Notamacropus eugenii: one gene and its partners. The protein of the gene in region 2 interacts with the protein of the main gene of each other region in a pairwise test. Links are inferred from orthologs where the notes say so. Each region holds a gene or a part of one and is shown on either strand. Other genes may lie near its edges.

What was found.
Region 1: the proteins of TEX11 (region 2) and SNX7 interact in binary tests that used the Homo sapiens proteins (3 or more experiments, as listed by UniProt). The two-hybrid records come from large-scale screens. The link is inferred for Notamacropus eugenii from reciprocal best matches to the Homo sapiens genes TEX11 and SNX7.
Region 3: the proteins of TEX11 (region 2) and NEFL interact in a two-hybrid assay, tested with the Homo sapiens proteins (2 studies listed by BioGRID and IntAct). The two-hybrid records come from large-scale screens. The link is inferred for Notamacropus eugenii from reciprocal best matches to the Homo sapiens genes TEX11 and NEFL.
Region 4: the proteins of TEX11 (region 2) and CCDC198 interact in binary tests that used the Homo sapiens proteins (3 or more experiments, as listed by UniProt). The two-hybrid records come from large-scale screens. The link is inferred for Notamacropus eugenii from reciprocal best matches to the Homo sapiens genes TEX11 and CCDC198.

The regions. Positions count from the first base shown.
Region 1 is NC_092873.1:274,704,851-274,711,776, forward strand, and holds the start of SNX7 (sorting nexin-7), read left to right. Parts: upstream 1-3,923; 5' UTR 3,924-3,980; coding exon 3,981-4,178; intron 4,179-6,926. UniProt on the Homo sapiens protein: Involved in the regulation of endocytosis and in several stages of intracellular trafficking. Together with SNX4, involved in autophagosome assembly by regulating trafficking and recycling of phospholipid scramblase ATG9A.
Region 2 is NC_092879.1:100,228,583-100,235,554, reverse strand, and holds the start of TEX11 (testis-expressed protein 11), read right to left. Parts: upstream 3,017-6,972; 5' UTR 2,857-3,016; intron 491-2,856; 5' UTR 464-490; coding exon 430-463; intron 1-429. Other genes in the region: SLC7A3 (cationic amino acid transporter 3), read right to left, coding at 6,117-6,241, 6,357-6,465, 6,626-6,792, 6,918-6,972. UniProt on the Homo sapiens protein: Regulator of crossing-over during meiosis. Involved in initiation and/or maintenance of chromosome synapsis and formation of crossovers.
Region 3 is NC_092872.1:742,703,659-742,711,563, forward strand, and holds the start of NEFL (neurofilament light polypeptide), read right to left. Parts: upstream 3,018-7,905; 5' UTR 2,899-3,017; coding exon 1,840-2,898; intron 81-1,839; coding exon 1-80. UniProt on the Homo sapiens protein: Neurofilaments usually contain three intermediate filament proteins: NEFL, NEFM, and NEFH which are involved in the maintenance of neuronal caliber.
Region 4 is NC_092872.1:300,385,630-300,393,178, forward strand, and holds the start of CCDC198 (factor associated with metabolism and energy), read right to left. Parts: upstream 3,019-7,549; 5' UTR 2,869-3,018; coding exon 2,646-2,868; intron 1-2,645. UniProt on the Homo sapiens protein: May be involved in tuning the metabolism, energy expenditure, and excretion processes.

The DNA of each region.
Region 1 (6,926 bases), on a different chromosome or scaffold from region 2:
TACCGTGCTGTTAGGTAACTAGGTGTGCCCAGATCCGGGACAATCTCGAGGGCGGGGAGATCTCTCTCCCATCACGTTTCTCACGGGAAGAGGCGGAATTACTCGAGATAGCTCGGTTCACCTCGATTCCCAGCTGTTTCCTGGGGGGGTCTCGTGAGAGCTCTAAGATTTAGAAGCTCCCACCTTTACCCGCCCGAGACTGTCCACACGGAATTGAGCTTCCAATCCCAACAAAGAATGTCTTGGGGATTGGTAGATAAGGACAACCAGGATCTGATTTGGGCAATAAGTTTAGATAACATGAACCTCAAAAGAGAAGATATTGAGTAATGGTGGTAGAGGAAAAGTCTAGAAGTGGGGGGAGTATTTTGTCTTCTCCATTGGGATCACCAAATTGAGGTTGGGGTTTGAGAGAAAATGCAACCAATACTAGAAGGAATGGCTGAGCAGGAAGATCTTGGTGAAGGAAAAAAAATGGAAGGGCTAGAGGGCAGAAGTTTAAGGTGAAAGGAATTTTGTTAATTACAGTACAGGAATAACAAAGGACACTGGGAACAGTGAAATGATATCTGCTTTTTTCAAAAGAATAATCATTAATTATTTTTCTCCTTTTGTTCATGGAACAGTGGATGTGTTGTCAATTCTTATCATTTCTATCTTCACAGCATTTTGTGTCCCCTTCTCTCCATTCACAGAGCAACCAGGCTAGTCCAGATCTATGTTAACTCTCACATAGACTAAATTACATAAATTTATAAATTACTCCCATTTTAAGAGAGGTTTTGGTAACAAAATAAAACAGAAAATTAAAACTAACAATACACTGACCTCATCTAAAAGTGCAGGCAGCATTTCACATCTGTAGTACCCCCTTCCTATTAAAAGAAATCAACACAATCTATTTCCTTTCTCCTACCCCCAGTCCATTAAACATAAAATAAAAAACACATTTCTTGTAACAAATAGGGATAGACAAGCAAATCTTCCCAATGATAGTACAAAAAATTATATATGTTCAGTTCTGCATTCCAAATCCATTACCTCTCTATAATAGATAGCATGTATTTTTCTTGGGCCTCTTTTGAAGGAGGCCAGGGAAGCCAATAGGCAGAGATGAAAAGGGGCAACATGGCAAGCAAAAGGGACTGCAAGGGAAAAGACTCAGATACTGGAAATGGAGGGTCATGTTCAAGGAACAGGAAAAATGCCCTTTTGGTTTTGCATCTCTAATCAATGAGTGTAAGAAAAAGCATTTATTAAGGGCTTACTATATATACTGGGCACTGAAGTGAGTACTAGGGGATGAAAATACAAAAGCTGGACAGTTGTTACCTTCAATGAACTTATATTCTGAAAGGGTGGAGAAGGGGAAAATTAGGTGGTATGGTGAATAAAGTGCCAGTCTTGGATTCAGCAAGACCTGAGTTGAAATTTAGCTTCAGAAACTTACTAGCTGTGTAATCCTAGGTAAGTCACATAATCCTTTCCATCTCAGTTTCCTCATCTGTCAAATGAGCTAGAGAAGGAAATGGCAAACTACTCCAATATCTTTGCCAAGAAAACCCCAAATGGGTTGGGCACGACTGAACAAATCATATATATATGGGAATAGTGGACAGGGAAGGCGTTTTGGTCTGGCAAGTCACTGTGATGAGTGGAGTCATAGGATAGTCAATTTCAATCAGTGACAGTATTGATCTATTATTCCCAGAGCAAGTGGTAAAGAAGGGGGAAAAATCATGTTGAGGAAAGGGTTCATACCTGGTGGCAGGTCTGAAAGTAGAATAGGATTAGAGAGAATGATTGGGTCTGCTGACAGCTAGACAGAGTTAGAACTCACTCATCTGCACAGCCCAGACATAGGCTTTATGCAATTTGAAGAATGTTGTTGTGTTGAAAGCTCCTTACTTTAACTTAACTCTTGCGACATTTGTTCATCTACTTAATGCTAATAATTCACACAGGCAAGTGAATCTGAATTTGCCTACTGGCTTCTTTGGTCTCTTTCAAAAGAGGCCCAAGAAAAATACATGGTATTCATTATAGAGAGGTAATGGATTTGGAATACAGAACTGAATAGTCCTATTAAATTATGCCAGAAAATGAGAAATTGAGGGTAATTGAGGTGAAGACACCCAACATCATATAACAAATCATTTATTAAAAGCATTTATTAAAAATAAAAAGGACTTATGAAGCACCTACTTGGTTGGTAGGTTGTTTTCCTTAAACACCTAATATAAAACAGGAACTGGGGTTATAAAGACAAAATCAGAACACACTCCCTGCTTTCAAAGATCTTACCTTTTATTGGCCCCTAGGTGGCAATGTGGGCAGTGTGCTGATGACTGGAGTTTGTCTCCTGCTCCAGCCCCTTAGGAGTTGGGGAGACCTGGCTAGTCACTAAGTCTCTCTCAGCCTCAGTTTCCTCATCTTTAATTTGGGGTTAATAAGGGTGTCTACCTCATAGGACTGTTCTAAGGATCAACTGAGTTAGCATACGTAAAGTACTTTGCAAACCTTAAAGCGCTATATATTGTTTGTCCTCTAAGAGGACCATAACATTAAAATGGTGACATGACTTGGAGTTGACTTTGATTTGAGTGAGGGAGGGCTGTGCAAGGTTACCAACCTCACTTTCTTTTCCTCGAAGCGCTATATAAACACCATTTAGCTTTTGGGAGAGGCAACACATTGGGTTTATCAGCATTTAGATGAGGAAATCAAGATCACAGATTTAAAGCTGCTGGAGATCTTAGATTTTAAGTTAACTGATGTGCAGAGAAATTAAACAATTAACCCGGGGTCAAACAGCTCTGTGAATGAGGCAGGCTTTCAATACAAGTCTGTTTTCCTGCTGCCAAGTCCAGATCAACTGACATCAATTCTGGATTTTCCCTCCTATTCCAGTATACTCAAAGAACATAGTAGCAGTTCCATGACACAGAGGAGAGAGAACTGGACTTGGCATCAAGAAGACTTGTTTTTATCCTGACTCAGACATTTACTAGCATTTACTGAACAAGGAAGTTTCTCTGACTGCAGTTTCTTCATCTAAAATGCGGGGGTTGGATTCCGTGGCCTCTTCGGCTGTAAAACCAGGCTCTGAATTGGAACCGAAAGGAGCCCTAGAGTTCATGCAGTCCAGTCTCTACCTTAGGTAACTAAAGTGCAGAACCAGGATTTTTAACCCAGATGCCCTGGCTCCAAGTCTAGGCATCTTTCCAAGTCATTCCTCCGTATCATGCAGAGTATTTGACTTCAAGATTTACCAGTGGAAAAAAGATCTGAAACTGAAACCTCAACACCTGTCTAATCGAGTGAACAAGCTTCCTGTGTGTTTTCCTTTTTGCATAAGTAAACTAGACCAAGTAGACACTTGGCAATCTGAGCACAATGGAACGAGAATACGGGGGTGGGGCGTTGGGGGGGATATAAAAAAATCTGCCATCTCTCTTCTTCCAATTCTTATCTGTTTCTCCAGAGCCCTGTTTTTCTTGCCTAGAAAGCTCGGTTCATCCATTCTGTACATTCTTCCCCGACCTCTCTCCACCCTGCCCCCACCGGCATGTTCTGGTCTTTCTTGTACTTTGGGGGTCCTTCGTGGCCCCCTCCTAGCCTCCAAGCCTGATCTTTCTCAGAGGAGCAGTGTTTGGGGGGATCTCCCATCCGAGCTTCTCCCTCTGGGGTTCTCCGTCTCCCACCGACCCCGGGCCAGTGTTGTGCCTCTCTAGTGGTTTGCCAGCACAGTCCAGCGCAATCCAGCGCAGCCCAGCCCCGCGGAGCCCAGCCCCGGCTCAGCCTCTGCGCCGCGTAGCAGGGCTCGCAGCCCGGTAGTTCCGCTTCTGCGCAGCGCGGCGGGCCCAGGGGCTGGGAAGAGGACGGGGAGGGGAGGCGGAGGATGTGCGCGGAGCCAATGGGCAAGCTCGGGGGAGTCGAAGCTGCCCGGGCGGCCCGCTGGGCTCGCACACACGGACGGGATGGACGGCGAGAGCTGGCTACCGCAGTCCTTCTCTCCGGGGCCCCCGGGCGGAGCGGGCGGCGGCGGCGGCGGCGGCAGCAGGGCGGGCAGCGATGGCGGGGAGAGCCCCCGCGGCGGCCGTGGGGCCGCAGCCCTGATGCAGCCCGAGGTGCTGGACCTGGATGAGGACGAGGATGACCTGGAGGTCTTCAGCAAGGTGAGGGCGGCGGCAGACGCGGTGGCGCGTCTCGGGGAAACTTCCCAACTCCTCTCCTAGAGCTGCCACCGAGCTTGTCAGCGGGGCCTGGTCCTACCAGGAGATTTGGGGGGGGGGGGTGTGTGTGAAGGGGAGGGACGCGAAAGAAAGGGGTGGGGGGTGTCGCCAGCTTCTTTTTTCTCCTCCTTTTCCTCCTCCTCCTGTCTTCCTTGTCTTCCTCCTCTTTTCCTTCTCCGATTGTCTTACCCAGCTGTAGCTTTCTGGAAGCCAGACATAGACTCTTTGCAAACCTCCGAGCCTTTGTCCGGAGAGAAGTTTTCAGCCTGGAATCAAACAGCTGGGCTTTCAATTCTCAGCCTCTCCTTTCTCCGCACTTTGACCCTCTGTGCATATGAGCATGTCTAGCTTTCAAAGACTGCAAAGTTCTGCTGTCCTACTGGGGTGAAGAAAGGAAAGCTCAGTCCCAGCATCCTCGACTCTTTCCCCTTCCCCACTGCCTTACCCGATCAGACCGTGCCAGGTTAGATGCGTGGTTAGATGCAAACAGACCCTGTCCTCGCCCCGCTGTCTTCCTTTTCCTTGTGCCCTGAGAATTCAGGGGAGGAGAGAGCCTGGGGCTTAGAGGGCACCCGCTTGGATTTCAGGTTTAGATTTTTTGATTTAGAGACTGAGAATGGAAGCCCAAGCTTTACACATAGAAGTACAGCAGGAGAAAGAACCCCTGTCCCGTGGCTGTCGCCCTGCCCTAACCACTACCCACCCACCTAGAGGGAATGGAAGGGGTTTCAAATAGAAATGAGATCCAAAGAAACAACTTTTGGAGAGGGAGATCCAACTGGAAACTAGTTTCCACATGTTAATTAAAGAGCAAAGACTCATCTCATGAGCCCTCAGGCATAATGTCCTGCAGGATTTTTGAGAGACCCTAGATTCTTGCAGGCTTGTCTATTTTTCACTGATAGTTATTCTTTTCTTTTAAGAAAATGATTTTGGGAGACGGTGAATGAAACTCCATCTTCTCCCAAGTTTCTGTCAGTGGAGGCTGTGGGTTGAGAGTAAGACAATGTATTAATTACTACTGCTTTTGCAGCAGTTAAATGTTACATTGAGGTCCTGGGTAAGTGAACTTAATTATAACCAGTCCCTTTATACGCCGAATTGTGAAGGGACTGGACAAGCTGGTCCTTGGCTTGATTTTGTCGCCTGAATTGCTTCAAAGAAGACTGAGATTGTAAACTTTTTTTTACGGCAAGAATTGTCTCACTCCACATCTTTAGCTCCTAAGACCTGGATTGTCTTGTTCGTAATAGTTTATGGATGATAAATGAATCCAATACTATACTTTCCTGTCCCACGCCCTTAAGAGAGTTAGGTTCTTTAAATAGAATTCTCCCACTTTATGTTTCCTAATGGAAAACAATAACAATAAACTGATAAAACAATAATAATAAACTGATTTCTATGGGGGGAAAACAAAACAAAAAACAAAAGTCCTTTAGGTCCCAAAGTGAAAAGTAATATAGCAAGACTCTCAGATCTCTGATCTCATGGGACAATTTAGTTGAATAAGTTGTTGAGTAAATTAATTAGCTCCTAAATACACTTACATGCCACGTTCACATTACACAGCAATGGGTTGGCCTCTTTCCCTTCACATTGCCAGTCAGTGTCTAGGGTCAAACACTATATAATATTTGTACTTGGTTGAAATGGAGCATTTGTCTCAACATCTAGTAATTTGGGGTAATGTCTGACAGTAATGCAATGACAGTTTGCAGACTTTTAGGTTATCCCTTCATTTATATTTTAGTGGATTGCAAATACTGAGCAGGCAATAGTGTGACCAATATGTAGATCTAAAGAAACACACGAAATAGTTATTGCTTTCAAAGGTCTTAAAATCTGTGTTGGAGAATAGTTTACTTAATCATGTATATGTGAACTATAAGTGCCACTGTTTGATTTCCAAATGAAAGTAAATCACTGATAGCAGGGCTTCATGGCTATGTGACCATCTGGGGAGTTGAAAGATGAGTGGGAGAGAAAATATTAGCAGGGAATCCTCTGACTTTCCTTAGTTGAAGGACAGTATTTTAGAAAACTTTTAAATAGTTGGTTTAGTTGATTGATGTCGTTACCAAATAAACCATCCCATAGAATAACTCCCATAATGTCTCTTCACTTGAGAACCTTCAATGAAATCCTAGAGGTTTTCCAATAATGCCTATACCTTAGCCTGGCATTCAAAGCTTTCCAACTCTGACATCATCCCATTCTGTTAAACTTCATATGTGTTAATGTCCTATCCATATTTCAAAGTTCAGCTCAAATATTGACTCTTTCCTGACATTTTCTCTGATGTCTTCTGGTAGCCAGAAAAGACCTAACCCTCAATTCTCAAAACACTTCTTAATAGTTATTTCTCTACATGTACCTTGCAGTCAGCTCTTAACTCTTTGAGGTCAGTAAATGTTTTATGATTTATTCATTTATTTATTTGTTCATTTATTGATTTAATTATCATTTTAACTTTAATTAATCAATTAAATTAATATTAATTACTTTTTTTGGATATCTCCACTACTTAGCCAAGTGTCTTATACACATTGATCTTGAATACATAATTCATTCACTTTTAATTGGGTGTCATCTCTCTTACCAAATTGTAAACTCCTCACAGCCTAGGACCTTGTTTAGTTTTATCTTTATAATTCTCCTAGCATAGTACTTTGAATTGAGGAAATGCTT
Region 2 (6,972 bases):
AACTCTTAGTGTGGAAATTCCCTCCACTGATGCTGACCAGAGCAACTCACCTGAACCTTAGTCTTACATGGAAGTTGCCTGGGAGCCAGTCAATATATTAGAGGGAAGACTTAAGGTTGGGTCTGCCTGATTCCAAGACAGGCTCGTTACAGTTGCCTCTCAGGAGTCTAATGATGACTCATACTTAGCAAGCTCGCTTTATACCATGGGTGAATCAGTAAACTCCCCTGGTCAAGAGCCTGACAAGTGGCCAGTGGGTCCCTAGGGAGTCCACCAGGCCCCTCAGGCCTCTTGTCAAACCCACCAGGCCTGGTCCCACCCTCTCCTTAGTCCTGCCTGTTGATGTCATTTGTTGAAGGTGGCTGCCTTTACAGATCACAAGGACACCAAGGCCCCCTCAGCGGAGATTCCCTGGACTTCACGCTGTACCTTTCAACTCCTCAAAATGAAGCTCCCCCTCCATGTGGACACACTTCTGGATCACCAGCACCTAGAAAATTAAAGGCACACTTTGGCTGGGCTTCCCTTAGAGGGGCGCCCTGCCTGGCCCTCCCTGCCTGACTTGGCCTTGGGTCACTCCAGGGTCCCCTCCTCCTCTCGGGCCCTCGGCCCCCCCCACCCGGCCTCCCAGGGCCCCCTCCTCCTCTCAGGCACTTAGATCTGGACACCTGGCCTCGTGGATCCCCTGTCACGTCTCGGGACCCCTCATCCTCTCGGGCCCTCGGCCTCCCCACCCGGCCTCCCAGGGCCCCCTCCTCCTCTCGGGCCCTCGGCCCCCCCCCCACCCAGCCTCCCGGGGCCCCCTCCTCCTCTCAGGCACTTAGCCCCCCACACCTGGCCTCGTGGATCCCCTGCCACATCTCAAAGCTCCTCCTCCTCTCGGGCCCTCGGCCCCCCCCCCCCTCCCCCCGGCTTCCCGGGGCTCCCTCCTCCTCTCAGGCACTTAGATCCGGACACCTGGCCTCGTGGATCCCCTGTCACGTCTCGGGACCCCTCCTCCTCTCGGGCCCTCAGCCCCCCCACCCGGCTTCCCAGGGCCCCCTCCTCCTCTCGGGCCTTCAGCTCCCCCACCTGACCTCCCGGAGCCCCCTCCTCCTCTCAGGCACTTAGCCCCCCCACACCTGGCCTCGTGGATCCCCTGCCACATCTCAAAGCTCCTCCTCCTCTCGGACCCTCAGCCCCCCCACCCGGCCTCCCAGGGCCCCCTCCTCCTCTCGGGCCCTCAGCCCCCCCACCCGGCCTCCCGGGGCCCCCTCCTCCTCTCGGGCCCTCAGCCCCCCCACCTGACCTCCCGGAGCCCCCTCCTCCTCTCAGGCACTTAGCCCCCCACACCTGGCCTCGTGGATCCCCTGCCACATCTCAAAGCTCCTCCTCCTCTCGGACCCTCAGCCCCCCCACCCGGCCTCCCAGGGCCCCCTCCTCCTCTCGGGCCCTCAGCTCCCCCACCTGGCCTCCCGGAGCCCCCTCCTCCTCTCAGGCACTTAGCCCCCCACACCTGGCCTCGTGGATCCCCTGTCACGTCTCGGGACCCCTCCTCCTCTCGGGCCCTCAGCCCCCCCACCTGGCCTCCCGGGGCCCCCTCCTCCTCTCGGGCCCTCAGCCCCCCCACCTGACCTCCCGGAGCCCCCTCCTCCTCTCAGGCACTTAGGTCCGGACACCTGGCCTCGTGGATCCCCTGTCACGTCTCGGGACCCCTCCTCCTCTCGGGCCCTCAGCCCCCCCACCCGGCCTCCCAGGGCCCCCTCCTCCTCTCGGGCCTTCAGCTCCCCCACCTGGCCTCCCGGAGCCCCCTCCTCCTCTCAGGCACTTAGCCCCCCACACCTGGCCTCGTGGATCCCCTGTCACGTCTCGGGACCCCTCCTCCTCTCGGGCCCTCAGCCCCCCCACCTGGCCTCCCGGGGCCCCCTCCTCCTCTCGGGCCCTCAGCCCCCCCACCTGACCTCCCGGAGCCCCCTCCTCCTCTCAGGCACTTAGATCCGGACACCTGGCCTCGTGGATCCCCTGTCACGTCTCGGGACCCCTCCTCCTCTCGGGCCCTCAGCCCCCCCACCTGGCCTCCCGGGGCCCCCTCCTCCTCTCGGGCCCTCAGCCCCCCCACCTGACCTCCCGGAGCCCCCTCCTCCTCTCAGGCACTTAGATCCGGACACCTGGCCTCGTGGATCCCCTGTCACGTCTCGGGACCCCTCCTCCTCTCGGGCCCTCAGCCCCCCCACCCGGCCTCCCAGGGCCCCCTCCTCCTCTCAGGCCCTCGGCCCCCCAACCTGGCCTCGTGGATCCCCTGCCGCATCTCAAAGCTCCTCCTCCTCTCGGGCACTTAGCCCCCCCACCCAGCCTCCCAGGGCCCCCTCCTCCTCTCGGGCCCTCAGCCCCCCCACCCGGCCTCCCAGGGCCCCCTCCTCCTCTCGGGCCCTCAGCCCCCCCACCCGGCCTCCCGGGGCCCCCTCCTCCTCTCAGGCCCTCAGCCCCCCCACCTGACCTCCCGGAGCCCCCTCCTCCTCTCAGGCACTTAGCCCCCCACACCTGGCCTCGTGGATCCCCTGCTGGGTCTTGGGGCCCCTCCTCCTCTCGGGCCCTCAGCCCCCCCACCTGGCCTCCCAGGGCCCCCTCCTCCTCTCGGGCCCTCAGCCCCCCCACCCGGCCTCCCGGGGCCCCCCTCCTCCTCTCAGGCCCTCAGCCCCCCCACCTGACCTCCCGGAGCCCCCTCCTCCTCTCAGGCACTTAGCCCCCCACACCTGGCCTCGTGGATCCCCTGCTGGGTCTTGGGGCCCCTCCTCCTCTCAGGCCCTCAGCCCCCCCACCCGGCCTCCCGGGCCCCCTCCTCCCCTTGGACCTCGCCGCCCCTTGGGACCCACGAACCTAGTGACAGAAGAGGACGTACGCGCCCCAGCAAGCGGAGGCCTCGAAGGGACAAGGCCCTCCAAGTCAGCGGCCCAGGAAAGCGAGCGAGCTGAAGGAGGGTCCCGCCCAGCGCCCTGGGCTGCCGTCTCCTCAGTCACTGCCAAAGTTACTTTAGCTCGTTCTATTGGTGCCAGGTAACCTTTTGTTGGCGGATGCAGAAGAACGCGCAGTGATTGGGCGTTAAGGAGAGCATGCTGCTTCCTCATTGGTCAAGATGCCTCTACCCCCGCCTCTTTTCCCCAACAGGCAATTGGTGGAGAATCCTCCAATCAGGTCTCGTCTTTCTCCCTCTCTGAGGGCTCCGGTCTGGCTAAGCAGCCTGGAGGTCAAGTGGAAGGGCTAGGAGAATGGAGTGGGGGTGCTGGGAGGGGCACGTGGCCCAGAGCGGCTGCCCAGGAGCCACTGCCCCACACAGCCCTGGCCCGCAAGCCCTCCGTCTGCATACAGCCACCTTCCTGATACTCACCCCCTGACCAAGCTCCTATGAGCCCCCTCCCCCGCCCCCATAGCCCTGCCTCCTGGACGGCCCCTGGGCAGCCCCCAGGGCCTCAGAGGATTGGGGCAGAGGCTAGAGAGCTGAATTGAGTTAGGCTCCGGATCCCCAACCAGAAGGGCTTGGAGAAGCTCTGGAGACAAAGAGAGGCCACCCCATGATGTCAACAAGCCCAGGCACGACCCCCAGTTACTCCTCTGGAGGCTCCCAGAATTTCACTCCCTCCCTTCAGACTTTTTCCACTTGTGCATTCCTTCCTCCTCTCTCAATTCAAATCATGAGTATCTATGGAGCCTTAAGCCTATTCTAGTCAAGGCACAAAAGACCATTCTGCTCTGGAGAGCTATTACTGAAGGATCTGTCTGAAGGTCTGGAGGCCACCCTGCTGCTTCCCTTAATGTTCCATGGATCCCACTGGGCAGGAAGGTCCCAATCCCCTTCTCCTCCTCTTCTAGTCATAGATTTCCCAGCACACATACACTACACTGACTTTATAACCATCATACATTTTTCCATTGCACCTTTCAGGCATCTGCAACCAGAATTTGGGATTGGGATTCTTCTGAGATTTCGGGTTTACCGAGACTCATTTGAAGCTGTATATAGCCTTAGTGGGAGATTGGTGTTAAAGAGACTTTTGTGTATGGGAGCCAAGTGAGAGGGTTAAAAGCACTGTCACGTATATAGTGCTTGATGGAGCTTTCTGCAGCTCTTTAAATCAATCTCATTGGATCCAGCACCTGGCCAACCACAGTCCTGAGAGGTAGGTGTTATACTCATTTGATAGATAAAATAAAGGCCCAGAAAGATTTAGAGCTTTGGCCATGATCATAGACCGAGCTCCTAAGAAATAGAGAGTTAGAGCTGGGAAGGTTAGACTTTGCCAGGCTTAACAGTCCCTCTCGACTCAGAGCAACTTTCTCTACTCCTTCCTCACTCAGTTGTTGTGAAAGGGCCCCTAGCTGCCCAAGGCTCAGATTCTTGACTCTTCACAGGACAAAGATCATGTCACATGGTAGAATTTCACAGGGGTAAGCATACCACACACCTAGGGGAGAGGAAAGGGCAATGGGGGGGGGGGGGGGGGGGAATTGATGGAAGAGAAGAGCAGAAAAGAGCCAAGACTCTTTCTTGTGCCCTGAAGGATATCCTTCTAACTCGATTACAGGGTGACTGGAAAAGGGCAGTGGAGAATGTAAACTTTGCCAATCCCTTTGATTCTCTCTTCATTCTAAATACTGAAAGGAGCCAGGCTGGGGGGCGGAGGGGAGCAGGCCACACAGCACCTCATTCCCTTTTCATCACATTATCAGGTGGTCCTCACCTTGCAAATCTCAAGCTTCACATGGTTTTCACTTAACTAGAACCACTGAAGCCCTCCAAAGTTTGTGTCCTAAATCTGGGATCTTAATTTCCATGTTCAAGTATTTTCAGGTACTGACTCCAAGGCCTCCAAGGAGCTGGGTGATTCCTTTGGTCGAGTGATTGCAAACAGAGCTCCCAAACTGCAGAATTTGTAGGCACTGAGTTGGTATCATTGGAAAGGACCAAGAGAAGGGAAAAGTGTAGACAAAAGTGTGTTAGATGCTGTATGTCAGGTACTGTGCTAAGGGCTTTACAGATGTTATTTCACTGGATGCTTCCAGCAACCCTGTGAAGTAGTGGCTATTATTATGTCCACTTTACAGGTGAGGGAACTCGTAAACAGATGTTAACTAACTGGCCCGGGGTCACACTGGTAACCAAAGGTGAGTATGAATTTGAACTCCTGATTCCTGATTTTCCTGATTCCAGGCCCAGCACTCTACCCACTGTGTCATCAGCTGCTACCCATATGATACCCAGGCCATGGGTGGTCTGGCTATTCCCTAGCATAAACTGGCCTGGTGATGGGGAAGGAGGGATGTGGGAAGACCTCAGCATTACACGTGAAGCTATTGATGATGAAGTAGTTGGGGGCACAACTTGAGCTGAAAAAATGGAAGCAACTAAAAGAAATACAAGTCAATTCATGGCATTAGATCTGGCTAAAACCTTCTTCCCAACCTCTCAGCTCCAGGCTGAGAGCCTCCTCTCCTCCCATATGGCTCAAGAGCAGGAGAATCTTCAGCTGTGCTCCGATGTCACCCTTGAGCCAGCAGTCAGAACAGCCTTGGAGCAGCCCAGAGTGAGGAGGGTAGGCCAGAGACCCAAGTCACAAAAGAGCTGTCATCTCCTGCCTCCCCTTCAAAGAAAAGGCCCCAAGGCCCCAGCCCTCTGTGCTTGTCTGGAAGGCATTTCTTCCTCCATCTATTTGCCTCAGCCTTAAGCCATCTAGAACCCCCACACCAAGTTGCCCACATCTAAGCACAGCTGATTCCCTCCCTGGTTGGGGAGAACACAGTTCCAGGAACCAGGCAGCCTGAGAGGTAAGAAAAAAGGGAGTGGAAGAACCCAGAGAAGAGGATACACAGTTCCTGATTTTATTTTCCTCTGTTTAATTCAAAAAGCTCACAAAGTAGACTTCAGTAAAAAAGGTCAGACGAGAAACAGCAAAAGGTCAGTCCTTCAATCATAATAAATACAGTTCTGTTTAAGAACCTCCCCCTTACCCTTCCAGGCCTCATGACCCACCTGGCCCAACAGAGTCCAAATCCCCTACGTGTCGAGAAGACAAGTTGAGCAAGAACACAAAGACAGAGGCGATCTCCAGTGTTGTACCAACAGCATCGCTAGGCTGTCCGAGTCAGACAGAAGGGCCAACAGGGTGGCTGACTTCAGAAGTTTTGGCAGTCTTTGCAGGCTGGGGCATTGGCTCACTCTGACCCTCTAGGCTGTTCCGGATCCCATAGGTGAAGTAGATGGCAAACCCTGAGGGGAGGAAGAAAAGTGGCTGTGAGGTGGGAGAACAGAACCCAAGAGGCCTAAGAGGAACATGAAAAAAAAGTTGGAGGTCAGGTCCCTCCGTCCAAGGACAGATACTTACCAACCATCATCCAGATCCCAAATCGGGCCCAGGTGCCAGCCTTCATCTGCATCATGAGATAAACATTCACAAAAATGCTCAGCAGTGGGAGGACAGGCAGTGCAGGCACCTGAAGGAAGGGCACAATAAGAGGAACTCTCATGACTATGGAGGGTGCCAGGGAGAAAAACAAGATTCACTAAAATGATAAACACAAGATGGTAAAGCGGTGCTAGCATTGGCACACCATGGCTTCTCCTCGGTGCTTCTTCCCCTCAGAAGTCTCTTACCTTGAAGTGGAGATGAGTCGGGTTCTGGGGCTGCCTCCAGATGATGACAGTGGCCACAATGCCTAGCAACAGGAACAGGGCACTCACAGTAATCCAGGTGGGCTTCCCGGCCCTCAGCTGCTCTGACCAGTAGCCCAGCACCAAGCACAGGCCGGTTATCACCACAGCTGCAGGGTGAGAGAGGGAGAAGAAATCAGATCAAAGCAGACTGCATGCCAGGCCCAAATCAACCCATCTCTGGGGCCCTAGATACCCCATCCTGCTCTGCCCTGGTCCCCACTCCACTGCTCACCAAGAATCGATACAGCTACATAAACAATATGGCCAGAGAGCTGGGTGGGTGTAGA
Region 3 (7,905 bases), on a different chromosome or scaffold from region 2:
AGATCTTGGTATTCTTTCAAGTATCTCGCCATCTCGCTCTTGGTGGTTCTCAGTTCATTTTCCAATTTGTTAATTGTGTCCTGTCAGGAGTGAAAAAGCAACCTGGAATACAAACCTCTATTTCCTCTCCAAGCATGTTGCCCTGAAAAGGGGAGGTGAACATACTGGCACATTTTCAGAGGCAGAGTCCATATCATGGTCTGCCAACCTCCAGTCTCGGCTCTATTCACTCAGAAATGGCTTTGTTTCCTCTGTACCCCAGAATTTTCCTGAATTCTCCTATGCCAGCTCCCAAACCGTACAGTGAAGGCTCACCTCCAGAGCTCCAAGGCTCTGCTGGAGAAGCTGCCTCCTTGGAACTGTCCCATCCCTCCTGGTACTGACTGAAAAAGCCTGCTTGTTTGTTACAAGCCCACTCTCCACTAGAGATCTGAGGGTCAGTCACACATCGGCCCTGCTCTTTCTTCAACTTGCTTTTCCCTGCATCCTGGATGGAAGCCAGCACAGCCACAGAAAGAGAAAGCCTATTATTCAGCAAGGCTTGGATTAGACTTAATGGGGACCAAGATAAGAGCTCCGGAGATATAAGGACAATGGAGGGTTGCGGCTCTTTGTAAAGAGCGAGCTTATCTCTTCTTCAGCAACTGACAGGACATGTAGGAGCAAGCCATCCCCCTCCCCTCCAGGCCTGTTTCTTCTCCAAGGCATTTTGCTGACTCTAAAATATTTATTAAATCAGCGTAGGGATAGGACCAGAGATTCCTTCTGTATAGGGAACTCACAACTGTTTCTGTCTCTGCAGAGCAACATGTCTGACAACAGAGTCTTAGAGAGTTAGCTCGGGCATCAAGAGGTTAAGTGACTTGATCAGAACCTAACTGCCCATGAGAGTCAGAAGCAGAACTCGAACCCAGATCTTCCTGGCCTCTAAGACAGGCTTCCTCTGTTACATAAATACCAGTTATTATTGACAACAATAATCCTACCCGTCTTAAATTTCTACAATGAGAACTTTAGATCTCCAAATCTGTCTCTGTTTTAATGTTCTGTACAGACTTCATACAGGCATTTGGAGCATCCTCTTGTCTTCCTTTGGTGTCCTACATCACTACAGTCTTCTGATATGTGGCCTTCCTTCTATAGAAAGGCACGTGTTTTACTGTTACCATCACTTAACTTGACCACGGGGAGAGGGGGGAATAGGCAGAGAGGGATTAGGGAGATAAATTCATAACTACTGCCACCTATCGGGGAGAAGAGGAATGCTCGACACATTTACTAACTGGGCGAACAGAAATAGTCCAACAGCGTGTAGGAGGCACCTCCCCTCCATTTCTCCGCCTCTCGCCTCTAACACAGAGTCAGGGTAGGATGTGCCAAAGAAAAAACACCCAGTTGCACACAGCGACCTCTGCCTCCATCCACCTGTCCCTAAGGGGACTCTATACCCTACCCCAAAGCTCTAACACCTGCAGTGCGTAAGTTGCCTTCCTCATGGCCCCCACCCCTCTCCATAATGATGCTGGCTCTAAAGTGATGTTCTGGAAAGCGTTGGGAACATAAGAAATTTGAACCACAATCTCAAGGCTATGTAGTTTCCTTAGGTAAATCGCCCCGCCCCTCCCGCGCCTCAGTTTCCTCTTATGTCAAATGAGACGGCAGGATGAAATGGCTACTTAAGTCACTCCGCGCCTCATTTTCCTCGCCTGAGCAATAAGCAGGTTGCCCCTCCAGAGGCCCGCCCCTCCCCCGCAGACCTGCCCAGCTGAGCTCCTCCACCACCCCGCCCCCCGCAGTCCCCTGGCTGCTCCCCGCTGTCCTGGACCGGACGTGCCTTACCTGAAGGGCGCTGATGTCGGCATTCTGCTTGTCCTCCAGCTCCTGCAGCTGCTTCTCCAGGGCCTCGTTCATGCCGCGGCACGCTTCGATCTCCAGCGTCTTGGCCTTGAGCAGGCGGCGGCTCTCGGACACTTCGTCCTTGGCTGCGCGCACGGCGTCCGTGTTCTTGGCGGCGCTCTCGGTGAGCACGGTGAAGCGGCTTTTGAACCACTCCTCGGCATTCTGCATGTTCTTGGCCGCCAGCTTCTCGTACTGCGAGCGGATGTCCTTGAGCGCCGCGGACAGGTCGGGCTTGGCGGACACGTCCATCTCCACGGAGATCTGCGCGTACTGGATCTGCGCCTGCAGCTCGGCGATCTCTTCCTCGTGCACTTTCTTAAGGAAGGCGATCTCGTCCAGCAGGCTGTCAATGCGCTTCTCGAGCTCGGCGCGGGCCAGGGCCGCCTCATCCGCGCCCTTGCGCGCCTCCAGCAGGCGACCCTCGGCGTCCTCGCGGCTCAGCACCTCCTCCTCATAGCGCGCCTGGAGCGCACGCAGGGTCTCCTCCAGGCCATCCCGCTCGCCCTGCAGCGCCTGCTTCTCGGCGCTCGCGTCCTCGACGGCGAGCCGCAGGTCTCGGATCTCCTGCTCATAAAGGGCACGGAAGCGCGACGGCTCGGCGTGCTTCTGCCGCAGCACCAGCAGCTCGGCCTCGAGGACCTTGTTCTGCTGCTCTAATTCGTGGACGCGCTCGATGAAGCTGGCGAAGCGGTCGTTGAGGTCCTGCAGCTGCACCTTCTCCTGCGTGCGGATGGACTTGAGGTCGTTGCTGATGGCGGCCACCTGGCTCAGGTCCAGGCTCTCCAGGCTGGGCAGCAGCGAGGAGCTGGACGAGTAACTGCGGCGAACGGAGAGCGCGGCGGAGGAGCCGGGGGCGGAGTAGCTGGAGTAGGCCGAGCGCGCCGCGCTGCTGTAGCCGCTGCGCACCGACGAGATGTGCACTCGCGGGCTTTCGGCGGTGCTGGCATAGCGCCGCTTGTACGCCGTGGCGTAGTACGGCTCGTAGCCGAAGGAGCTCATGCTGCCGGTGTGGGGGATCGGGGGCCGCAGCCCGGCCGGCCGCCTGCCCGCTGCCTGCCCGGCGGGGAGGAGGAGAGAGATGGGGAGGAGGAGAGAGGAGGGCAGGAGGACGGATGGCTGTGTGCGGCTCGCGGCTGCCCGGCCGCCCCCTTTTATACCCGAGCTGGGACTGACGCAGCCTCGGAGCCCTCCCTCGCCTGGCTGCGGGGGGCGGTGGCCAGCGCCTTGCGGCAGCCAAAGAAAGACGTTGCGCAACTCTGGAGGGCGGGGGGAAAGAGCAGGAGCAGAAGGATAGACTGCCAGGGGAGGAAAGAGAGAGGGAAGCAGAGCTCAGCCAGGAAAGGACTCTGGAGATTCGCTGCCCCACCCAGCCCCCCTGCAACTCCACTAGGCTCCTCGCCTCTCCGCCAACCTGCAGCTCCTTGAGCTATCCCCGGCCTCCATTTCTTTTCTCCGGCTCCCCATCCTTTCCCCTTCTTGCTTGGACACAGCCACTGTGCCATCTTCTCTTTCCCATCTTCTGAGTTCTCGCTCTCTACTCCCCGCCCAGGCCATGGAACTCTTGCCCTTAGTCCACCTGGTGCCTTCCTCGGGGACCCCGGAGGCCTCAGGCTCTTTTGTCTCTTGCCCACCCAGCCAACCCCACTAAAACTACTTCAGCTCTTGCGTTCCCTGAGACGTTGCAGTTTCTCCAGGGAGTCTGAGCTGAAGTATTCTACATCCATTAACCCAGGATTTAGAAAAATGAGGTGTAGAACTGGTTAAAATGAGCGTCGTTAACTAGGGGTCCAGAGAGGTAACCGTGGATAAATGTCCGTGAACTTGGAACCCTTGCATCATTATAACTAGTTTCCTTTGTAACCCTATGCGGTTTATTTTATGAATTTAAGAACGTTCTGACAAGGGGACCGGAGGCATCATCAGACTGCCGAAGTGGTCCAGAACCCGAAAAGGGGAGGGAAGGAAATCCTGATGGAAGGAATCCCATCCCCTGCCAGCAGTCATAGGCTTTTTTTCTCCCCCAAAGTCTTAGCAATTTTCCTATGTCCTTTAACCCCTTGGTGTCCCAACCTCTCTGCATAAATAGACCCCCCGGGAAAGTTCCCTCCTGGAACGAAGTCACATTTTCCCCCAGCTCTGAATCCAGTTTTGCTTTAAACTTGACCCCATTTGGATTTGCCTGGTTGGTTTGTTTTAATTGCCCTGTAGTCCGTATGGTTTCAAAGCTAGTGAGTTAGTCATTAAACATTTTTAAAGGCCTACTGTGTGTCAGGCACTTTAAGTGCTGAGAGTAAATGGGGGAGGGGGAAAAGGGCCTAGGGGAGAGTGGCTTGAATTTCTAAGCAAAGAGAACTTCACTGTGGTTGGCTTTTCAAACCTCCGAGAGTAGCACGCTAATGCAGAGCTGGTACCGACAGTCAGTACTGCTGTCCCAACTGCATTAGCCTCTCTGATAAGCTCCTAATGGCTGTCTTGAAGTATTTAACCTTTCACATTTTTCCCCCTCCAGACAATTCAGTTCACCAGATTTAGAGCAGTCAGGCAGACTCTATGTCCTGTCTATGGTTCTAACTCTGAAATTTAGTGCCTGTGGGACCCTGAACAACTCACTCAGCCTGCTCGGTTCTCGGTTTTCTCTTCTGCAAAATGAGTTGAACTAGTTGATCTCTCAGGTCTCTTTCCTGACGGAGATCTGTGATACTAGAAGATAGCCTCCCACTTCTGGCATCCTATCTATACTTCTGGGACGGCATTCTACAGAAGAGCAATGGTTAATCCTCCGGGTTCAGTACAGTGCCTCATTATTCCTCTGCAGGCTCAAAATAGCGAGAGAGTTTTCCTCCCCCGCCTGGTATGAATGATAAAACAGGTAACAGTTGCTGGGGAAGAGATTCAGTGAAGGCACAATAGATTTCTCTCTTCCCCCCATTTTTTGGGGGGAGGGGGGCATTTTTATCTCTTCAAAGGAATCTCCCTCTGCATTCCAACCCTAATGAACTTCCAGAGCTGAAGGGTACCTGGAGCAGAGTTTTCACGGCACCAAAGAGAAAAACCTTTTTTTTTATTAGAAAAATTGTTCAAAATTACAGAGTATCATGGATTGTTCTAATCTAGTGACTCTGAGGTTTTTATTGTGAGAGTACAGTTAAGAAAATGTGAGGAGAGGCAACTTGGCATGTGCACACAAAGCCTGTCTTGGAGTCAGAAAGTTTTTCAGACTGTGTCCAATTTTTCATGACTCCACTTGGGGTTTTCTTGACAAAGATACCACAGTGGTTTGCCATTTTCTTTTCCAGCTCATTTTACAGATGAGGAAGTTGAAGCGGATAAGGTTAAGTCACTTACCCAGAGTCACACAGCTAATAAGTGTGTGAGGCCAGATTTGAACTCAGGCAGAGAAGAGTCTGCCAAACTTAAGACTTGGCCCTCTATGCACTGCACCACTTAGGGACACCTAGAGTAGAGAAGACCCAAATTCAGATCCTGCCTCTGATTAGTTCTATGGTGATTGACAAGTTGAGGAACCTCTCAATCCCGATGCAAATTTCTAATGTCACAATTTAAATGAGAGCTGACAATCGGAATCAGTAAAGTGTGTCCTTATAATAGGAGTTCTAATAAACTCAATTGTAGAACCAAAAAAATTCTGAAATTCAAGTGAAAAAAGATGGATGTGCCTAAATGTCTGAAGGACTGCCATAGGAAAGGGAAGATGGATTATTTTTCTATAGGTCCAAAGAATGGATTTTTGCCAATGAGGGGAAGTTATAAGATGGCAGATTTCACTTCTCCCTAAGCAAGAACTCTTAACAACTAAGGTTCACTATTTCAGTAGGCAGTCTCAAGAGGTAATGTGTTCAACATCACCAATTAGATAACCTATCCTAAAAAGGCCATTTGTATGAAGTGACAGGTGGACCTTGGTGACTTCCCTTGCACCAATCCCCTAGTCAAGAAGCTTCAGTGGTTCTCTAATTTGTCATGATGATAAAATGAAAGCTCCTCCATTTGGCCTTTGAAACCCTTCACCACCTTTCTGTCTTTCCAGAATGTTTACTCATTACTCCCCCTGCTCACACACTGAATTTCAAACTGATCTCCTTGCTGATTCTGATACATAACATTTCATTTGCCTCAATGCTTCCCCAAGGCTTCCCCGTCCAGTCACCTCCATCTCTCAGACCTCCTAACTCCTTTTGGTAAAGCAGCACCTCCTACAAGATCTTTCCCATTTCCTCCAGGTGATCCTACTCTAAAGAAATTACATTGTATTTAATTGATATGGATTTTGCATTCACCTATCAATATGGCTTAACCCCTAGATGATAAAATGTAAGAGGGCAGGTAGTGAGCAGTTTTGGTTTTATATGATGCCTGGCATATAGTAGGAACTTAATAAATGCTTGTTTTAATTGAATCTAATCAGATGATTTTCTGGGTTAGAGTGCTGGACCTGAAGTCAGGAGAAAGTTGGATTAGATTCTGGCCAATCTGGCCAACTGTTCTGAGCCTCAGTTCTCCCCAATGGTCAAGGGATAACACTACTTATCTCCCAGAGTTACTAATGAGTTAAGGTATATATAGCAAGAGATTTTCGAAGTTTAAAGAGCTGTGAAAATCTTATTGCTATTACAATAGGATGAGAGGAGCAGGGATTCCACCAGGATAGAAATTTTACTGGGGGGAGGAGGGGAGGAAAAAGAAGGCGGTAGTTGGAGCCCAGCAACTATATTTTGATTGGCTAGGTTTTTTACTGTTCTCAGCCATTCAGAGGACTGGCTGTGTTAAGTCAGGTCTGGGAGCTAGCCTTGGTCCTTATCAAGGGTATGAGAAAGGTTTAGCAGGATGATACAATAGGGTGTGACTATGCTATATTGAACTTATTAATAATACCTGTCTTTTTTCAAACAATTTAAGGGTTGCAAAACATTTTACCTGCATTTAGTGGGATGGGGCAATGTTAAAATGGGTGTGCTTGGATATAATTAAAAAGAAATGGAAACTCCATCACTTAGGCTCAATTCACTTTGTGCTTGCATGAAAGGCTCACTTGCTATGGGCCCCACCCCTCCCAGCAGTTTCAGGTTGCCCCTTCCGAGACTTGTGTCTAGTGGGACCCTTGCCAAGGAGGCTCCACACTGCAGAGGAAACCTCCTAGAAGAGACTGAGTGAGATAAAAGAATGGAAGAGAGGTGATGAGGAAAGGAGCCCAGCACAGCATAAGCTGTGATCCTTTGGTCATAGCCCAGAACCACAAACGGGGTTTGTGTGTGTGAGTGTGTGTGTGTGTGTGTGTGTGTGTGTGTGTGTGTGTGTGAGTGAGTGAGTGAGTGTGTGTGTGTGTGTGTGTGTATGTAGGGGTGTGTGGCATTCATGAGCCAGGGTCTGTACCATAGTGAATGTATTGCCAGCATGGTATGGGAGCTCAGGACTGTCTCAGGAGGAAAGAAGCAAATCCCAGTGCATATTCCTATTTATCTCCCCACATATTTGTGTTGTTCAGTCATTTCAGTCATGTCCAACTCTTTGTGATCCTATATCTTTATGTGAGTAAACCATATGATCGTACAATCCTAGTTCTAAAGCTGGAAGGCACTGAGAAATGTAGCCCAACTCTCCCTCTTTGCATATGAGGAAACTGAGACCAGTGATGTTAAATGTCCAAGGTCACAGAAGTAGTAAGAATCAGAGGCAACTTAAACTTCTATAACTGTCTTGAAGAAGAATTTCGTAAAAAAAAAAAAGGGTGGAGGGGCAGCATGTATAAGGGTTACAACCCCATCCCTTTTCTTTTGCAAGAGTAAGTGAAAACAGTGTTGTGGACTGAATCCACCGTTATAGAAATGCTTCAGATACTTTTTTTAATGCAGAAAAAAAGAAGAAAATCATTTATTGGCAGTGATTTTAAAAAAATTGTACCAGATGGCAGTTACCTCCTTCCCCTTCGTGATGCCTTCCCGATTCACTGCTCAACAAGAGCAAACGTGACCTGACAACTTGAGGACT
Region 4 (7,549 bases), on a different chromosome or scaffold from region 2:
CCCACCCTCTGATCCCACACCTCCTTGGCATTAGGCCATGGTTCCCTTGAGGTCCAGCCATAGCCCTCACTTTGGAGACCATAAATCTTTATTAAGTGCTTGCTTTGTATAAGTCACTGTAGTAGGCACTGGAAGTACAAAGATGTTGCTTTACAAAATTAGTAAGATACGGGAACAAAGCATTTCCTTTGAGGTATGAATTCCCAGCCATGATTTATTATATATAATCTTATCATACATCCATTGAATAAATTTCATATAAAGACAGTGGATGAGCAACATAGATATTTATTGAAGACTTAGAAAGGAAGATGCTCTTTCTTCTTAAGTAAACTCTAACACCAATGAAAGGGGTTGATTCCCTTCTCTGTAGGTTGCCATTTAGATGTAACTATAATAAGGGGACTGAAAAAATAAGAAGCTCTGTGACAAAACTCAGATCTGCAAGGCATTTCTTGGTCTCATTTTTAAAGGTTGCCTAAAGGATTATAACATGACAAAACTTAAACAAAAGTTCATTTCTTGACTTTTTATAACAATTTAGGCTCTCTCTGATTTTTAAATATCTTACCCACAATTCCCCTCAGTCTTACCATCAATGGAAAATTCCAAGGTTTGGGATATTTTTTTTAATTTTTGGTATGGAACCTATGATTTTATTGGTAGAAGGAACTCCAGGTGTGGAAAATCCTTCTCCAATTGCAAATCTATAATTATTTTGCTTCTAGTTGTCTGGGAACTCAGAAACTGACTTGCCCAAAGGTCACAAACCAGTAATTTACCAGTGCTTTTCCTTATAATGAGAAAATGCATACAGCAATGACTTATTTTTCTCTGTAATTTTAAGTGAAGCAGGTTTTTCAGGTTTAGCTTATTGAAAGTGATACTTTTGCATTAAGCAGTACAAAATAATAATTATGGTGATAATCACATAGCTAACATTTATATAGAGTATTAAGGGTTTCAAACACTTCACATGTGTTACATATTGAGTGTTATCTCCTTCAGTCCTCACAACAACCATATGAAGGAGGGATTATTCTTATCCCTAATTATGGATGAAGAAACAGAAGCAGAGAGAGATTGAAGAACTTTCCCAGAGCCACATATCCAGTAAATCTCTGAGGAATGATTTGAACTTGGGTCTTTATAACTCCAAGTCCAGCACTCTATTCATTATTTCACATAGCATGAGGTACTTTAGGTGGAACTCAGTGGAACTCGGAACTCAATACTTAAAGTATTTTTGGTGAAAGATTCCCATATGCCAGCTAGATGTCAAATATTATTATTAATTCCTTGTTTTTGAATTGGGCTTGAAGGCATTTTCTCTCTCATTATGTGTTTCCAGTACCTATGTGAAATATTAGAGATATGTTAATATACCTATTTTAAAGATGAGCAACCTGATATAAATGAAAATATTTAGTGATTTGCCAAAGGTCACAGAACTAGAGAGTGGTGCAGCTATGCCTAGAACTCAGCTCTCCTGAACATTAGTTAATGATGTTTTCATTCCTATATGCTGCTTTTTAAAATTTTTTATTCTTGTCATTCACATCTAAGCATGAAAGAGCAGTTTAGAGCCTTGCCTTACAAAGTGGGTTCCCTTTCTTCATTCAATTGCAATAATTTTCTTGGCACAAGCAAAAACTTCTATTCTCGAGAAAAAAATTGGGGCATAAAAGGCACCTTTGTCAGTGAAAATCTAAAGAGAAAATTCCATTCTGTCATTAGGAAACTGAGAAATGCATCAAATGCACACATATATACAGAAGAGAAATTAAACCAGCCAATTGTAGGAACATGGTAGTATCATGCACATGAGTTCCTGAAACAGTTGTTAGTTATATGGAATAATGCTTCCTCACTAAGTAACTAGATACATTTATTTCTTTTATAAACCTGGAATGGGAAACAAAAACTGAAAGGCCATTAATGGAAATACTTGCTTTTCAGATAGTTTGGAAATATCCAATAATAACGTTTTCTCAAAATGTAATTCATAGTTAAGTGCTCTGTCATAAAACACTGGGGAAAAATTTTTACTTGGATTATCCAGAGATAATTTATAGTCACTTCAGGGTCCATTCCTGTAATCAAAGTAGGGGAATATCTCTTCTTAACTTGAAGATGTATAAGGAGAAAAAAAGAATATGAAGGAAAGAAAGGAATGTCCTATCCACTTATTCTGTTTCCCTCTAGAATCATTACTAGTTCGCAGTTACTCAAAGTGTTTCAACTCTATTTCCCTGGTGATATAAGATATTATAAAAATTATTTCTGACTTAAACTATATATGACTGATGATCATTATTATTGATTCACATACATACACACAGTACTTAACGGTATAATGTGATTTGTGTGTAAAAAAGTAAGAAACAGTAAACTGAAATGTATCAAAATGATTTCTCCTCACCCTGCATCCAGAACTGCAAAAATCTTTCTCACACATCCTTCCAAAAAACTCCTCTGCTCCCCTGGACATATTCTTAATTGCAAAACTTTTATCTTTCAATATATTATCATCTTTTTTTAGCTGTATTCAGAAAATTCCAGTTCTATGTAAAAACAACCACATAAATCTATCAATAGCCTTTCTTCACCTGAAAGCATGATTTCCATGCCATTTTTATTTTTACCTGAAGAATATCTCCCATACAAAGTCTCCCGAAGTGGTGGCAGCTGCCTGTCCAATGTTTTCTTCTTCTCTTGTAGTCTTGCAAATGAATATAAACTTTGATCCTCTGAATTGTCATTGAATACCAAGTCCACAGGGCTGGCTGGGGAACACATTGAGTCTTTATCTTGCATAGGGGCCACTCTGGTCACCCTAGGGTGAGTCTTAGAGTGTTTTGACCCCATTTCACTTTAAGGACATTAAAAATATGTATGGGGGAAATGAGGAGAATCTTGGACTTTCAGCTTGCCCTGGTGTTAAGGTGTGTTTCTTTCTTGTTGCTTTGTAAAGCAGTCTTTTAGTTCAAGACATCCTTCTGGTTCTGTTTCATTACACATAACCCCTTTGGACTTTTCCATGATAGGTTGGTTTCTATGGCTACTCCCCTATTAACTCCTCCCTAGTAGTCATTCCTGCATCAAAATTCTGTTAAACATTGATTTCATTGGGCTTTTTTCTGGAAGTATTAGTGTAAGGAATACTAACTTCTATTAATTATTAGACAAATTTTTTAATACCAGAAAAAGCCATTAGTATATTTGTAGCAGGAAGGTTTGGAAAATTCAATTGTTCTTGAATCCTACAAATAATTAATTAATAAATATTCACCCCAGTATATGCAAGACGTTGTTCTAGGAACCAGAGATACTAAGATGGAAATATATACTCTCTGCCCACAAGGAACCTACAATGTATTAGGAAATAAGTATACTGTAAAGGCAAAGTGGAATAGGAGAAAAGGAAATATATAGACAAAAGTACTTGGGAAAAGCACATTCAGTTTGTGAGGGAGGACATGAAGAAAGGTTTTATGGCAGAGGTATCACTGGACTGTTTTGAAGTAAGAAAAAGGATTTTAGCAGGAAGCAGTGATGTAGAACATTTCAGTGTGGGGTATGGCCAGCGTCAATGAATATGGAATGTGGGAGCAGCCAGTAGTTCATTTTTGGAAAAACCAGATAGTATATGAGAGAGATTGAAATCAAATAAGGCTGGAAAGGTAAGTTGGAGCTACCTTGTAGAGGACCTTAAATGCCAGACTCAGGAGTCTGCATTTTATCCTACAGGCTTCAGGAAAGCCCTGTTTTGGTTTCTGTGTTTGTGTATGTAAGGTTTTTTTTTTTTTTACTCTGTTAATATTTTAGCAGAGAAGTGACAGGCAGATGTGCATGAAGAAACATTTTGGCACCTTTGTGAGAGATTTGTTGATGCCTGGAAATAAAAAAAAGGAAAGACTAGAGAAAATTGAGTTTTATTGTCCATGAGCAACATTTGGATATTTTTTCGTTTCTATATACATCTAATGTGGTAGCAGTATTCTACAGGAATAAATTCTAGAGACACAGTAGACAAATTGATTAAAACTGCTACCCTTTTCTACTGTGCTAATGGGTCTCTGGGAGAAGTTTGTGATGAGATTTATAACAAGTTTTGCATATAACTTACAAATGGGTTTAGTTTCTTGCATGGGTTAATTATTATGTATTGACCATGCTGTTGATACAGTTTATAGTTTGTGTTTACAGGATCTCCAAAGTATGTTTCTAATACAGTTTAAGTCCATTCTGCAACTGATTGGTAATGGGAAATCAATCTCTAGAGTCCTTGCAGCAATGTAAATTATGTGTCTGGATGGCTAAGCAGAAGTGATATATGACCTAAATTTTAATTTCCTCTAGGCAATTGCTTTCCTCTATCCATTTATCCATTGGACTTGAGGGAGACTATATAACAAGTGCTACTTGGTAGACAGGTATCATAGCATAATAAATTGATATTATAAATGGAAGCTTCTTTAAGAGATTGCTAAGTCAGGGCAGCTTAATGAAATGTGTATCATCACCCTTTAAATTGAGTCATTGAATGGAAAGGCCAAATATTTACATAACTGAACCATGTTGAAGACAGCAAGTACTGATTTCAGTTCAGTTCAACTAACATTTATTCAAAGCCTACTCTATGTAGAAGATCACATTTGGCACTGGGGAAGATTCAAAATTTAAAAGATACTCAGTCCCTGCTATTGTAGGGCAGATAGTCTAGTTTTTATTGTTGTTTGTTATTTTTGGTCATGTCCAACTCTTTGTGACCCCATTTGGGGTTTTCTTGGGGAAGACATACTGGAGTGGTTTGCCATTCGGGTCATTATGCTGACAAGGAAATTGAGGGAAACAGAGTGACTTGTTCATGGTCACACAGCTAGTGTCTGAGGCCAGATTTGAACTGTCTTCCTGACTCCAGACCCAACACTATCTACTACACAGGAGATATGATACATAGTTATGACCCATGGTTCAGAACTCCTTGACTCTGGGCTTATGAGAACTGGGGCTGATTTTAGGGCTTACCCTTTCCCCCAAATTGAGTTACTCAGGCTCATGCTGTTCTCAGAGTTTATGCTGGGAAAATCTCCAAATATAGTTCATGTGCTAGTTTTCCACAGTTATGAATAACAGGGTTCCCAGATCTCATACAATAGTGCAAAGTAATATACGTTCTTTTTTATGTGACAAGCTTTATTTTACAAGTTCAGAAAATACAAAGGTCTCATAGAAACACAGAATAGTTTCAGAAAACACACAAAAGATTGCCAATATTCCATAATCAATACCATTCTCCTCCTTCTCTGGTAAATCCTACTTTCCAGGGACCTAAAATTCTCCAGACTCAGGGCACCCCATGGAATTGCTATAAGGGAAACACACTTTCTAACAGATAGTGTTCCTCCATTCTGGCAAATCTTGCTTCACGCTAGGATAAATGCTGTCCTTTCTCCCACACTCATAGTGCCATCTTGTGGTTTGGGCTTCCTAGAAGAGTGTTCAAGCAGACAATGCTCCCACATTCTGGTGAGCCCCCCTTCACTCTGAAGCGATACATCGATTAAACTTCATAGTGCTACTCTGAGGTCTTAAACTCCCCCAGAGAGAAAACGTACTAGGATTAGCAGACAATTAGCAACCTCTCCCCAATTCCCCACCTGACCACCCCCTCACCCCCTGCTTACCATTAGGTCTACATCAGCCAAATAATTCTAATAGCAAAGGAGAAAATCCAGATCCATTATTCCCTTTATATCATGGCTTTAGTCCCTTACAGTTATTCCTCTCAACATTAAGACCCGTATTTATCATTCTCTTCTCTTTTCAAGAAACATAATGTCCATGCTTTCTTTTCTTTGGATAGAAGACTGGATGCATGAACTTTTGAACTTGAGACAACTCACAAAGCTACCCCCAAAGCTGTCACTGTCTAGAAGATCCTCTTCTTAGCTATGACAATGGTATGATCATGTTTTCCTTTGCCACTGCAACTCCAGAAACTTTCAGTATTCCACTCCATTATATTCACTCTTGCCATTTTTATTTTTTGCTAGAAAAGTCTCTGTTCAATAATCAGACAAGAGAAAAGAAAGGCTGCCAGGAATTTCAGGTTCAGCAATTCATATCTTGGGCCATATGCTTTTGCTACAATGACATCATTAATGGCTCCTAGGAACCTACCCACTCTTCATACTCTCCATGCCCATTTCTGCTGTGCTTTCAGATCTATTTGAAAGAGAAGTAGAAAAGGCTGAGTTCTTAAACTCATATAAAAATGAGTTCTTCATTAGGATTCCCATTTTTTAGCTGAGCATAATGGAATGATTCCTTCTACGAGAATACAACCTCCCAATGGTACAAGTCAATCAATTTATTTTGGGTGTAGCCACAATCAACGTGACCAGTCTTCTAAGGTGTGGGAAAAGATATGTCCATAGCCTCCACGGGAATATATACTCAAAAACCCTTACAAAGTTTCACCACTCTATAGGTTTATCAAGCTGATGAGGGAACTTCCTTGAATAAACCTTACAATCTTAAAAACCTTACCATTGGAATGATTATTTTCATATTAATTGATATGATATGTATAATGAATATACTAATAATTTAGATTTCTCAGAGCTGCCTCCTCTGGCTTGGGAGTCAGAAAGTCACAATGTAGCTTAAAATGATCAATCAAACCCTCAACAAGGCTCTCACAAGCACCATATGCCTGTGCCTGTGTACCTTAAATGAAGCAAATCAAAGATTGTAGAACCTGTTCCCATCCCAGAACTCTGGTCCCATGTCCCACTGAGTAATGACCCCACGACTTGGAGCAATACTATTCCTACAGGACTCCGAATGCCTGTATTGTCCTGCCCTCTTAGGCTTGTAATGGGAAACCACTTAGGACCTGGAAATGATTGTTTTGTAATCCATCTTCCTCTCCTTCGCCACTTGTGATTTATGTATATAAATTATGCCTTTATTCCAGCACAGAGAGCATTTCTCACTCTTAAAGTAATTAATTAAACTTCTACTTGTTTCCTGGCACTCCTGTCTCTGGCCTGCTTTGTGCAGCTCTGGCTATTCACAGGTTAGAGACCAATACAATACCTATTAATACCATATAAAAATAACCATAGTACAAAATGGTAATAAAATGTATAAAGTATTGGACTTAGAGTCAGAAAGATAAGTTCGAATCCTCTAGTAGGCATTTTCTACGTATGTTGCCCTGGGCAAACCACTTACCCTTTTAAAGCCTCAAGTCAATAAGTATTTTTCAAGACTTCTGTTCCCAGCACTAAGCCAAGTGTTGGGGACATAAATCATTTTTTTAAATAGTCCCTGTTCTCTCTCTCTTTTCCCTCCTTTCTTCCTCATCTGTAAAATGGAGATAATAATGGCACCTTCTTCACAGGGTTCTTGTGAGTATCATGGCAAATAATACATGTAAAGCACTTCCCAAATATTAAGGTGCTCTGTCAATGCCAACTATTGTCATTATTGTCATCATTATTAGAGAATTATAAACAAAGTTCTGTGTGAGGGAGGA